Ovis aries: one gene and its partner. The protein of the gene in region 1 purifies or fractionates together with the protein of each later gene. This does not show direct contact. Links are inferred from orthologs where the notes say so. Each region holds a gene or a part of one and is shown in the gene's direction. Other genes may lie near its edges.

Region 1 (6,414 bases):
ACATGGGAGGATCCTGAGATATCCCAAATATGGACTGTGAACCAGGTAAATCAACATGATTGGCCAAAGGGAACTGGGAAGAAATACCCCATAAAAGTAATTCAAACTATCACAAGAGCACAACTCAGGGACTCTCCTTTTAAGTCTGCCCGTGAATCTCTCCACACGTACTGTACTCTTTTTTCTCTTAATAAATACTTTACTTGCTTTGTTACTTTCTGTCTTTGTGGGAATTCTTTTCTGCAAAGCTGAAGGGCCAGGGCCCTTGTCACTGGCCACTGACCTAGTGGCTAGGAACTGGTGCTTTCACTGCTGCAACCCAGCCCGATCTCTCGCTGGGAACCTAAGCCGTGTTCCAAGCCATTGCAGGCCAAGGCCACCTGAGATCAGTGTGGCCACGGCTGGGGGCTCTTTGAGCAGACACATGACCCACAAAAGTTTCCCAGGGGCCAGTTCTTCCCAAAGAGCCCAAGGGAGGAAGAATGCTGCCTGCTGAGCACAGCAGGCTGGGGCCTGGCCCAGGTTTGGAAGCAGAGAAGTCAAGCTGGGCTTGAAGGGCAGCAGATGGGGTTGAACTTTAGGGCTGGAAAGGGAGCTCGAGAGGTCAGCCAACGGCAGTCCAAGCCTTGGATCACTGGCTCTTCTCCTGTAGGTAAGGGATGGTGTTGGAATGGTGAGGCAGTGGAATCAGATTTGCACTTTTGAAAGTCTCCTCCAGTTGCAAGAAAGAGATGAACTAGAGGAGCAGGGCCGGGAACAGAATGGAGAGAGGGAGATCCTGAGTGCAGGCCAGAGGAGGGAGGCAAGGCCTGGAGAGAGGCTGCTCCTAAGTGGATCCTTCCCCCCTCTTCCCCAACCAGGGAGAAGCAGGAAGCCAGTGAGGTCACTGGGTGCATCTCCACGGCACTGGAGGGCAGAGGAGGGAATGCAAGGGCTCAGAGAGGTCCCTTGGGGGCTCTGTGGGACCCTCATCGATGCCTGCTGCTGCTGCTGCTAAGTCACTTCAGTCGTGTCCGACTCTGTGCGACCCTATAGACAGCAGCCCACTAGGCTCCTCTGTCCCTGGGATTCTCCAGGCAAGAATACTGGAGTGAGTTGCCATTTCCTTCTCCAATGCATGAAAGTGAAAAGTGAAAGGGAAGTCGCTCAGTCGTGCCCGACTCTTAGCGACCCCATGGACTGCAGCCTACCAGGCTCCTCCGTCCATGGGATTGTCCAGGCAAGAGTACTGGAGTGGGGTGCTACTGCCTTCTCGATTCCTATCTTGGTTCAAATCTTCTGGTGGCAATTGAATTGAATCTCCCAGTAGGCAAGGATTCACTGGGACTGTTTGCCGTCCTTCTCTTGTGTCTGACTGGAAGCTGCCCAAGGGTGACTGTAACACCTGAGGGGCCTAAAATAGGGGGGAACAGAAGACTGCTAAGCAGAAGGGCACCAGGAGCTAGCGACCCCCCACCCACGATTCTCCATTCCTGCTCAAAGCCTGCTGCCATAGCCCTTAGGAATGAGCCAGCCTGTGAAGCTGGGGGTGAGGGTGGAGGAATACCTAGAGCAGAGGAAAAAAAAAACAAACACGAAGCAGGTGTGTTTAAGGGGCTAGACCCTGTGCCCCTTCCCCCTAATGCACAGCCACACTTCAACACTCCCTGGCTTTTCTCAGCCTCTGCAATGAGATGAAGGCCTGCCAGCCCCCATCACATACTTGTCACACACTCACAAACAGACAAATATGACAAATACATACACAAAAAGACGTAAGACACCAGACATGCCCATATATAATACATACAGACACACAGGCACAGACACAGTCACACAGACATCCCAAGAGACATATGGACACACACATATATATATACACACTCACAGACACACAAAGACACACTCATACACACAGACACACACACAGAGACACACCAACAGATACACACACTCTTACACATCTGGAGCAGCCAGTGGAGGCTGCTGATTGAATACCTTGCTGGCTTACTGGCCCAGTGCTAACATCAAAAACTGGTGCTGTATACCCCTCACCCCCAGCCTCACTGCAGGGAGCCCTCTAGAGCAGTGGCCCTGACAATAGGGCCAGAAGTTTGGAAGAGATGATACCTTAGCTGAGGAGCCTTTCAGATGGACGGAGAGGAGGAAAGAATATTCCAGGGAGGGAACATAGGCCATGTCAAGGTTTGGGGTGGGTGGTGGCAACTGATACCTAAAGAACTATGGAAGCCTTCTTTGAGGAGGGGACTAAGGGAACAGACAAGAGGCCAGCGCCCCTAGCACAGAGAGACAAGCTAAGAAGCAACTCTTGGCCCTACTCCACCCACGCCAGCCTAAGCCTCTGTGGGGACACACTGGGCAGAAGGAAATGGGTCAGGCCCAGGTCCTACCAGAACCAGGAGGTGTGGGGGGTAGGGCATGGGAAGTTAGCTGCCTTAGAAGGGCCTAGCAACCAGATCTCCACTCTTTCAATCTTCTGTTTGGAGGCCAGGTCCCCAAACCCTCACGAAAGCATGGGCTAGGACAGAAGGCTAGCTTAGAAAGAAGGCCACCAGCCCTCACAGGAAAGGGGCCATGTGCTCCTTGTCGAAGCAGAATGAGTTCTGAGTGCTCCCTTTGCTAGGAGGGCGGACCCAGATTGTGAGAACGCTTCCCTCCCTGCCCCAGACTTCAGCAGGGAAAGACCTAGGGCCCGGTCTGGGCTGGAAGGCCTGTGCTCATCCTCAGGTCGGCTTCTTTTCTCTGATCCTTGGAGACCAAGCTAGGGATCTCGGTGGGGATGTGGTGCGGGGGTAGGTGTCTGGGTGAAGGGGCTCTGAGGGTATGGGGCAGGGCCCTCCCTCTAGGCAGGTGGGCTTTCTAGCTGGCTCACGGTGGCCTTGAGGTGAGCAGAGGGCCCGTCCGCAGCCGGCTGCAGGAGGCCTAGGGGGGTTCTGAAATTCCTCTCTTCTACCCTCTACCTCGCCTCCTCAACCTTCTTCCCTCAAGGCCCCCCGGGTGGCTGGGAAGTGGGAGGCGCAGGAGGGGCGCGGGGAGGGGCTGTGGACTGGAGCCGGGCGGGGCCCCTCGGTGGAGGCCCGCGCTGCCGGCCCCGCCCCGGCCTCGCACATCTGGGCTGGAGCGCTGGCCCACCCGGCGGCGCGGCGGCGCGGCCATCCGGCCTGGGGGAGGGGGAGGGGAAGGGAGAGGGGTCGGGCGTTGCAGGGCGAAGAGCGGGGCCGGGGCTGGACGCACGTCGAGGGCTGTGGCCGCCGCGGCAGGGCACGGCCACCCCACCGGCTGCGGGCCCAGCTTCCAGGCGTCTGCACAGAGGTCGAGCTGTCGGGAGGGCAGAGGTGAGTCCTGGGCAGGGCGCTGCTGGGCTCCTAGAGAGAAAGGCGCCAAGATTTGCGGTTTCATCGCGGGCTGGCGGCTGAGACCCCACCACAAACTCCTGACCCTCGGGAACGGGACTGGCACAGAGCTGCAAGCCCCTGTCTCCAGCAGGGCTCTGGGGTTCAGGAAGGCAACTGGGGCAGCGACTGAGGGCTCCCATCCGAGCTTTGGGACCCTACACTGGTGAGGGTGGGGCTCGAGAGACTTCTGTGTCTGGGCGTCTGCTGTAGGGCTGGGGGCTGCTCCAGGGGAGCAAGTTTGTGGAGGGACGCGGTGCTTAGGCCAGAAGGTGGAGACCCTGGGGTTGAATATGTGTGTACTTTGGGGGTGCCTGCTGGGGGAGTTCCTAGGGCCTGTGGGCTCAGAAGTTCAAGAGTGGCTGGGGTGCTGCAGTGCCAGACTGTGGGCTGGCCTCATGAACAGGGACCTCTGGTTTCTCTCTGTGAGGCCAGCGTGGGGATCCAGGTGGAGTGGGGTCTGGCTCCCTGTGGGGGCTGTGGAGCCAGGAGGCAAAGCTAGCTCGTATGGGAGAGAGGGACTGGGAGGGAGGAAGCTCTAAAATATGGACTCCCTGCGAGAGTGAAGGCAGCCCTGGATCCCCAGAAGGTAAGAGAGGTGATGAGGGACCTCTCGAGAGGGTGGGAGGGGCTTAGGCCCTAGGCTCTGTGGGACAGAGGTTGTTTGTGAGCTGGCTGCTCCCTTGATGGGGACCCGTGGGGGTGGGGCAGGATGTATGGAAAGAAAAGCGAGGACAGGGAGGGGATGCAGGAGGCCTTTTCTGTCACTCCCTGCCCCAGCCCAGGAGAAGGCAGCTTTCTCACCCCACAGCCTCCCTCTGGTCCCTCACCTTGAGGGCGCCTCTCCAGAGACAGATGGGGGCAGCCCTTTGGGTGCCATTTCTGATCTGTCCCTTGGGCCCAGGTTGGCTCAGTCTCTGGTTTGGGAAAAATGCCCGTGGCTTCTCTTTGTTTGCTGAATGGCAGGATGATGAGAGAGAGCAGGGGATAGAAGAGGCAGGGTGCAGGGAAAAGGCCTGTGGGGGTATGGAGGTGAGCTGTAAAGTTGGGTGGGCTCTTTGCCTTCATGGGCAGAAGATGGGTATGTGTGGAGCCCAGCAACACCAGCAGCACCACATGTCCAAGTGCTCTGGTGGGGGATGGGAAGGGACACAAGGACCCAGCCTCATCACGCCCAACTGAGGAAAAGATCGTTGGAGATTTCTCTCCATTGGACAGAAAGTCCTGGGCTTTTGTAGTCTGGGGAACACTGTGGGTTGGGAATCTCTGGTTTCAACTCCCTCCTCAGCCACACCCTGTCCTAGTCCCCAGTCAGGCCTGTTGGGTCAGGGTAAAGCTGAAGATCAGAGGTCAATATGAGGCTAAGGGCTATGGGTCAGTCCATGGGTGGGGTTAAGGGACAGACCGGAGGTGGGATTAAGTGTCTGTGGGTAGGGCAGGGGTCAGGCTGGGGCCAGGGTTTAGCCTGCTCTTGTAGCCAGGAAATGGTTACTTTCTGTGTAAGCCAAACTGGCCCATTCAATTATTCTCAAACCCATAAGCATCACCAGTCTGAAATTAGTGGACCCCTGGGGCAGGGTTCTACCTCCCCCCATTTCCAGCTGCAGACCCTGCCCAGATGTAGCTTTTGGGAGTGGAGGTTGTCCTGAGTCCCATGATCAGCATTCTCCCTACATGTTTCTGGTAAACGGGTGTGTACGCATGGTAAGGATGTCCCAAAGAAATATGGGGCATGTATGCATGCTTGTGTGGCTGCCACCTGCTTCTAACTCCATCTCTCAGAGAATCAGCAGGATCCTCCTTTTTTAACACAAATTGATTCAGGGCCTCCCTCCTTCTATAAAGAACTCAGAATGACTAGAATAAAAGTTTCAATAAGACCAAAAATTCTGACAAGAAAAACTTCAGAATCCATATCATGAAGGGAAAGAACACCGCTCACATCTGCCTTTTTACCAACCACCTTCCATCCTTGGACTTGATCCTCACAAGCACCTGCATGATCTGTTTTACAGGAAAGGGCACTGAGGCGCAGAGAGGCAACAGGATGCACTCCAGCCAGGTGTCCTTAAGGTGCCTAATAGGCCCTTGTCAGCCCTGAGTATCAGAGCACTCAGTGTATCACAGGCTCAGAGATAAGAGCTGGGGTAATTATAGACAATGGTTTGGACAAGGAATCAACTTAGAATGACAACCCCTGAGTCTTTTTCTTGGTTATTCTAGATTGTTTCTGCTCCAAATACAATATCCTTGGTTGAGAAAATCCATTCATTGAGCAGTATTTCCCCAGCACTTAGCTGTAGAACCTGGCTGGAAGAAGTGTTCAATGTTTTTGCTGATGAATTGAAACGACTTATAAGTACGGCTGCCATCATCTCTCCTGTGGCCTTGATCCAGTCTTTGTTGGTAAATGTTTTTCAGTCTGCTCCCCAAGAGGGAGAAAAACCTGATTTGCAGTTTGCCAGCTTGTGTGGTGTAATCACCACGGCTGATTTCAAACTATCAAATGTGATGTCAATAAATGCAAAATTGAGAAGAGATGCACAGAATCAGCTCTTGGGAGCTGGCGGACAGAAGCTCAAGTTCCTCTCATCTTAGAAAACAAAATCCTGTCCTCCCCTCCTCAAGCTTTATTTTCTTCCAGGTAAGATGCACATCACCTCCTGACCTCAGCTGCACTAGCGGGAAGTGCTAGCTCTGTTCTCTCATCCTCTGCTCCCTCCTTGCCTACCAGACTCCTACCCCATTCCTTCATTCCACCAAAATGCCCTGGGCCTTTAAAACATTAAATCTGGTGTTTCCAGTTTCATCTAAAAATCTCTGAAGGATCTAGCTTCGCGGCCTTCTCTTATCGAGATCTTCATGAAACCATAGCAGGCATCCCTGTCTCCCTGGCCAGCCAACCTTCCTCCTGTCAACCTTTATTCAGAGCTTCTCCTCTCTTCCCTTCCCCCACGCTACTCTCCACCAAACTTCCTGTGACAATGACACCAAACACAAATCTCCACCTTGGAATTCTCCC
Region 2 (5,776 bases), on another chromosome or scaffold:
TAGCCTGCCAGGCTCCTCTGTCCACAGAGATTCTCCAGGCAAGAATACTGGAGTGGGTTGCCGTACCCTCCTCCAGGGGATCTTCCCAGCCCAGGGATTGAACCCAGATCTCCCACATTGCAGGCAGATTATTTACCAACTGAGCCACCAGGAAGCCCACTCCTGGGTATATAAACCCCCAAAATAGATACATACATCCACACAAAAGTTTGTACACAGTGTTCATAGAGAATAGCTATAAAATGAAAGCAAGCCAAATGCCCATCACCTGATGAATTATGAACAGATTAACAAATCGTGGTATCTTCATACAATGGAATGTTTTTTGGCCATAAGAAAGAATGAAACACTGATAGAAGCTGTATGAAATGAACTTTGAAAACCTTATGCCAAGTGAAAAGAGCCAGGCACAAAAGACTAGTTGTTATATGATTGCATTTATATAAAATGCCCAGAATAGGGAAATCGCTAGAAACAGAATGTAGATTAGTGGTTGTCCAGGGCTGGGTAGGGGTGGTTGGGGAACAATTGGGAGGTACTAGTTAAAGGGTATGGTGTTTTGATTTCTTTTTGAGTTAATGAAAATATTCTGAAATTGATTATGGTGGTGGTTGCACAATCTGTAAGTGAGTGACATCGCTCAGTAGTGTCCAACTCTTTGCGACCCCATGGACTGTAGCCTACCATGCTCCTCCGTCCATGGGATTTTCCAGGCAAGAGTACTGGAGTGGGGTGCCATTTCCTTCTCCAGAGGATCTTCCTGACCCCAGGATTGAACCCGGGTCTTCTGCATTGTAGGCAGGTAAAGCTACCGTCTGAGCTACGAGGGTTGTACACTTTAAATGAATGAGTTGTTATATGAATTATATCTCGATAAAGTTGCTAAAAAATTTAAAAGAATTGGAAGCCAGGCGCCCCTGTTGGAAGTGGATAGATGATGTGGTCTCTGGCAGAATCACATCAGATAGAGGTGGGAGTGGACTAAGCTTCCATTTCTCCCTGCCTGATGGGAACCGCCAGAGAGCTCTTTGCAGCAGGGTAAGCCCTGTTCTCTTTCTCACAATGTGCAGTTCCACAGCAGCCCCAACCTGAAGCTCTCAATTCAAGAAACAGAGAAAAGATTGACGTATGAGATTCTGGCAGCCCCTCACAGCTCACTTTTCTCTCTCCCCCTCTTTGGTTTGTATTAACAGGAGACAGAAGCGAACAAAACCAAAGGATTTGATTACTTACTGAAGGCAGCTGAAGCTGGTGACAGGCAGTGCATGATTCTGGTGGCGCGAGCCTTTGACACTGGCCAGAACCTCAGCCCTGACAGGTACTGTGGCCGTGGCTCAGGTGGAGCTGGTGGGAACCTGGGGTGCAGGTGGGAGCCTCCCCTCTGGAATCAGAACAGACCCGGGTTCCAGGTGTGCCTCCCCCGAGTACCAGCCCTGTGACCGTGGGCAAGTAGGCCTACCTCCCTGACCTCAGTTTCTTCATCGTGTCAAATCAGAATACCCATAGCACCTGCACCCTAGGGCGGTAATGTGTGCTTGCGTGAGGGTTAAATGAGATGATGCCTGTAATTTCACTGGCACATAAAGAGAGAGAGAAATGGCGTCTTAGCCATTTTATGTAAAGATTTGTCTGAGAAAGAGTCTGAAGGGATATGTAGCATCAGGTCCAGGGCCAGTTTTCTCTAGATGATGGGATTAGGGGTGATTTTAATTGACTCTTCCTATTTTTGTTTTTAGTGTTTTCACTTCTAAGAGGGAGTGGAGGGAAGGGGGACTGAACTCCAGGGAGGAGTTCAGTCCTGGTATGAGTTTTCCAGAGTGATTTGGGCTTCCCTGGTGGCTCAGATGGTAAAGAATCTGCCTGCAATGCAGGAGACCCAGGTTCGGTCCCTGGGTCAGGAAAATCCCCTGGAGAAGGGAATGGCTACCCACTCCAGTATCCTTGCCTGGAGAATTCCATGGACAGAGAAGCCTGGCGGACTGCAGTCCATGGGGTCTCAAAGAGACAAGACTGAGCAACTAACACTTTGACTCTTTTTTTTTTTTTCTCACTTTTTTGAAATCTCTGACAGCTACAACCCTACAGGTGTTAACAGCTTTTCCCTTATGCCTCTGGCAGAGATGCCAGGATTGGACTCTCCGGTGGCAAGAGAGGAGAATGGCAGCTTCATCTTGGGTCTTTGGCTTGGCTGGTGGGAGGTCCCAGAAGTCTAGGAGCAGAGAATGGTTGAGGGAATTCAGTTCTTAGTAGGACCTGTTGCTCACTGGCTCCCAGTGGATCTCAGCTTCCCCGTTTCTTCTCAGGCACCCATGGCTTTCTGGAAGGGACAGTGTCCAAACCTCCAGGATTGGGGCAGCGTGGCACTTGCCTCCTATGTGGGTCGTGTTTTCATCTCCCTCACTGAGTTTAGAAGCAAAGTCGAGACTGGGGCTCTGTCATGTCAAGCTCTCAGGGTCTAAAATGTCTGAGTTACATACCCTGCAAACATGTGTCAGCTCCCTGCTATGTAACTGTAATGCTCCTTATATTTGGGTACACCTTCATATCTGTGATTTTATTTCACTGAGAACTAGAATTGGGTTTCCTGCACCTCTTCAGTGCCAGTGCTTAGCACAGGGCCTGGCTCAGTAGTTGTTTGAATGAAAGAATCAACACATCTCTTTGACACAGACTGGGCAGCATTTAGGGGCTTATTTTATGGATGTGTGGTTCTAAGAAGTGAAGGGGCTTGTCTGCAGTTAAGTAGCCAGTAAGTAGCAGGGCCAAAACTTAGGTCTTCTCATCTCTTCTCCAGTGGACTGTACATTAGCCTGCTTCTTAGGGGCTCAGAGTCACTGGCATGGAGGGGAGGTAAACAAAACAGGAAATGATTTTGTCCAAAATCAAATGCCAACATCTGTGATGCCCATTGAGACTTCCCTGTAGCTCAAATGGTAAGGAATCTGCCTGCAATGCAAGAGACCAGGGTTCAGTCCCTGGGTCTGGAATATCCTCTGGAGAAGGGCACGGGAATCCACTCTAGTATTCTTGCCTGGAGAATCCCCAGGGAAAGAGGAGCCTGAAGGGCTACAGTCCATAGGGTCACAAAGAGTTGGACACAACTGAGGACTATGCACAGCACATATATATATTTTGGCCTTGTGGAATGTGGGATCTTAGTTCCCCAATCAGGGATCAAACCCATGCCCTTTGCAGTGGAAGCATAAAGTCCGACCATTGAACCATCAGGGAATTCCCTGTAAAAAAAAATTTTTTTTAAGGCTGTTAGCTCTTTGGTAAATGAGTTGACTTAAAACCTTTTTTCAGAGATGGCTTGCATAGATTTGGGGCAGCAGGGAGAAGAGGTGCCACACAGTGCCCACTGACTATTGAGTCTGGGAACTTGCTGGGTTTTAATATTTGTGTGGTTAAATCAATCAAGATTTTCTTCCGTAACATCTTCCAAAGTCATTCTCTCACTCTTCTTCCTCATTCCAAGCAGCCCCAGCCTCTTCCATTCAAGGAGCATAAATGAGAGTCAGCTATTTGCATTTAAGGGGTTTTGACCCCCTCAGAAGTTACTATCTCATAGCAGAAGGAAAAGTCATTGGAAATTCCAAGGCAGGGTGGACATACTAACCACGGGGTGTGGAGTTGGGTGGGGTGCATTGGGAGAGACTAGGCCTTTTCCCTTCTTTTACATTTAATGTGTTGGAAGCAGTTCTGCCTTGCCTTTCAAGACCAGAGAGGGCCAAAGCTGAAAGAATTGAGATCAGCTAGTTTAGTGATTGCCAATCCACTGTTCAAACCCCAGTCTTCTGGATGTGCCACAAATAATTTTCAAACAACTTCCCTTCTTTATAAAACAGAATGGAGTCAAGATTATCTCCTGACGCCATCCCAGCCAGCCACTTCAGCAGACATTTATAGAGTCTGTGCTGTTTGCCAGGCCCTGGGAATGCAGCCGTGAATAAAACAGACACGGTCCCTGCCCTCCTAGAGCCTTACATTCTACCTGGGGAAAACGTAATAAACAAGTGAATAAGTAAACAGGAGAATTACAGTTTGAGGTAATGGTAAGAAATCGAGTATTTGGGGCCAGCGTCTCTGAAGAAGCTGAGCTGAGGTTGGAGAGATGAGGAGCCAGGTATGGGAAGAGTTCAAGGAAGGATGTTCTAAGCAAAGGGAGCAGCAGGTGCAAAAGCCAAAGGGCGGACAGGAGCTGGCAAGTCCGAGGAGGGGAAAGTGACCCAGCGAGTCTGGCATGGCTGACAGGAGCTAAGACTGGAGGGTGAAGCCAGGTCCATATATGTGTGTATATATATACACAGCTGTAGCTCCAGGAACACTTCATGGGGCACGTAGACCTTCTTATCTGCGTCTCTCTTTGCTCTTTCCTGATGTCCTATAGTTACTCACGTGTTTGGTAATGTGCATTAGTACACCCCAAGGAAAAGAGCCCACTGCCCTGTTTACTCTTTATTTTGTTTTGCTCAGATTGGGTTGGAACCTGTGTCTGCCTTTGGGGGTTAGACCACTGTGTGGCCGTAGGAGAAATAATTGAGAGTGAAGGGCAGAGTCAGAAGGGGGAAGTCAGCTGTTCTGGAATAAGCCCTCCATTTTCTGGAGGAAAGCCAGAGCTGACCAGCAGAGGCAGAGAAAGAAAGAGCTGAATGACTGCTGTCGAAGGTTCTGGGGGCTTTGGTGAAGGGTACCCCACCCACCTCTTCTCCTGCATGAGTTATAGGGCAAATTGGTTGGGACACCACCCACTGCTAATGCAAACCCATAGGGTAGTTTTTTGTGTGTTTTGTTTTTTGTTTTGTTGTGTTTTGGCCACGCTGTGCAGCTTGTGGGATCTTAGTTCCCCAACCAGAGATTGAACCCAGGCCATGGCAGTGAAAGCACCAAGTCCTAACTGGGACTGCCAGGGAATTCCTGCAGGGTGATTTTATGCAGACTAGAAAAATGTTCTCCTTCCTCAAGATGCTCGACTTCCATCTGTTGGAAACTTATTGTTCTATACCACTTTTGTTAGGGAAAACTACTTGACCGCTGTTGTAATAAATATATAGATCTACAATGTGAATGACAGCCCTTAGGTGTGGTGGCGTTGGATACTATGAAGCATAGGTGGTGGCCGCACTGTGATCCCTGACTTGCCTCTCCTGCTGATGGGCCTCCTCCTTCCTGCCCTGTTGCCATGGTAACTTCCTCTTCTCCTCTGTATCTCCTGGCAAGGTCCCAGAGCTGGCCAGAGGCTCTCCACTGGTACAACACTGCCCTGGAGACAACTGACTGTGATGAGGGTGGGGAGTATGATGGGATGCAAGACGAACCCCGGTACATGCTGCTGGCCAGGGAGGCGGAGATGCTGTTCACAGGCGGCTGCGGGCTGGAGAAGGACCCACAGAGATCAGGTAGCGCCTGGCAGACCTGCCCCTGGGGTGGGACAGGGCTGGATAGTGAAAGAGACATGATTCCTCTCTCATTGGGAATCACAACAAGATGCAAGACTGAGTCTCTTCTTTCCATTCTGGCTGGGAGAAAGATTCATACTGGTCCTGTATTGTGCAAGGCTGGCTACCCATATGATGCTTAGAAAGGGTTTCTTTATGAAGTTGGTATGCAGATGAGCCTTTTTGATAGTCACATGTTAGAAATTTGGGAGGTTTGTTTGCAATGCAAAAATTGAGCGACATTTTCATAAAATTCACCATTTTAAAGTGTATAGTTCTGTGGTTTTTAGTATGTTCACAGTGTTACGCCATCATCACCACTACCTAATTCCAGAACA

The links. Proteins that work in one complex are often made in the same cells at the same time.
Region 2: the proteins of HSPA12B (region 1) and EEF2K purify together in Homo sapiens (affinity purification with mass spectrometry; 3 studies listed by BioGRID and IntAct, with this or other methods). This does not show direct contact. The link is inferred for Ovis aries from reciprocal best matches to the Homo sapiens genes HSPA12B and EEF2K.

What each region holds. Positions count from the first base shown.
Region 1 is NC_056066.1:51,179,979-51,186,392, reverse strand, and holds the start of HSPA12B (heat shock 70 kDa protein 12B), read left to right. Parts: upstream 1-2,665; 5' UTR 2,666-2,727; intron 2,728-3,197; exon of another isoform or gene 3,198-3,335; intron 3,336-6,414.
Region 2 is NC_056077.1:20,496,639-20,502,414, forward strand, and holds part of EEF2K (eukaryotic elongation factor 2 kinase), read left to right. Parts: intron 1-1,193; coding exon 1,194-1,318; intron 1,319-5,220; coding exon 5,221-5,399; intron 5,400-5,776. UniProt on the Homo sapiens protein: Threonine kinase that regulates protein synthesis by controlling the rate of peptide chain elongation.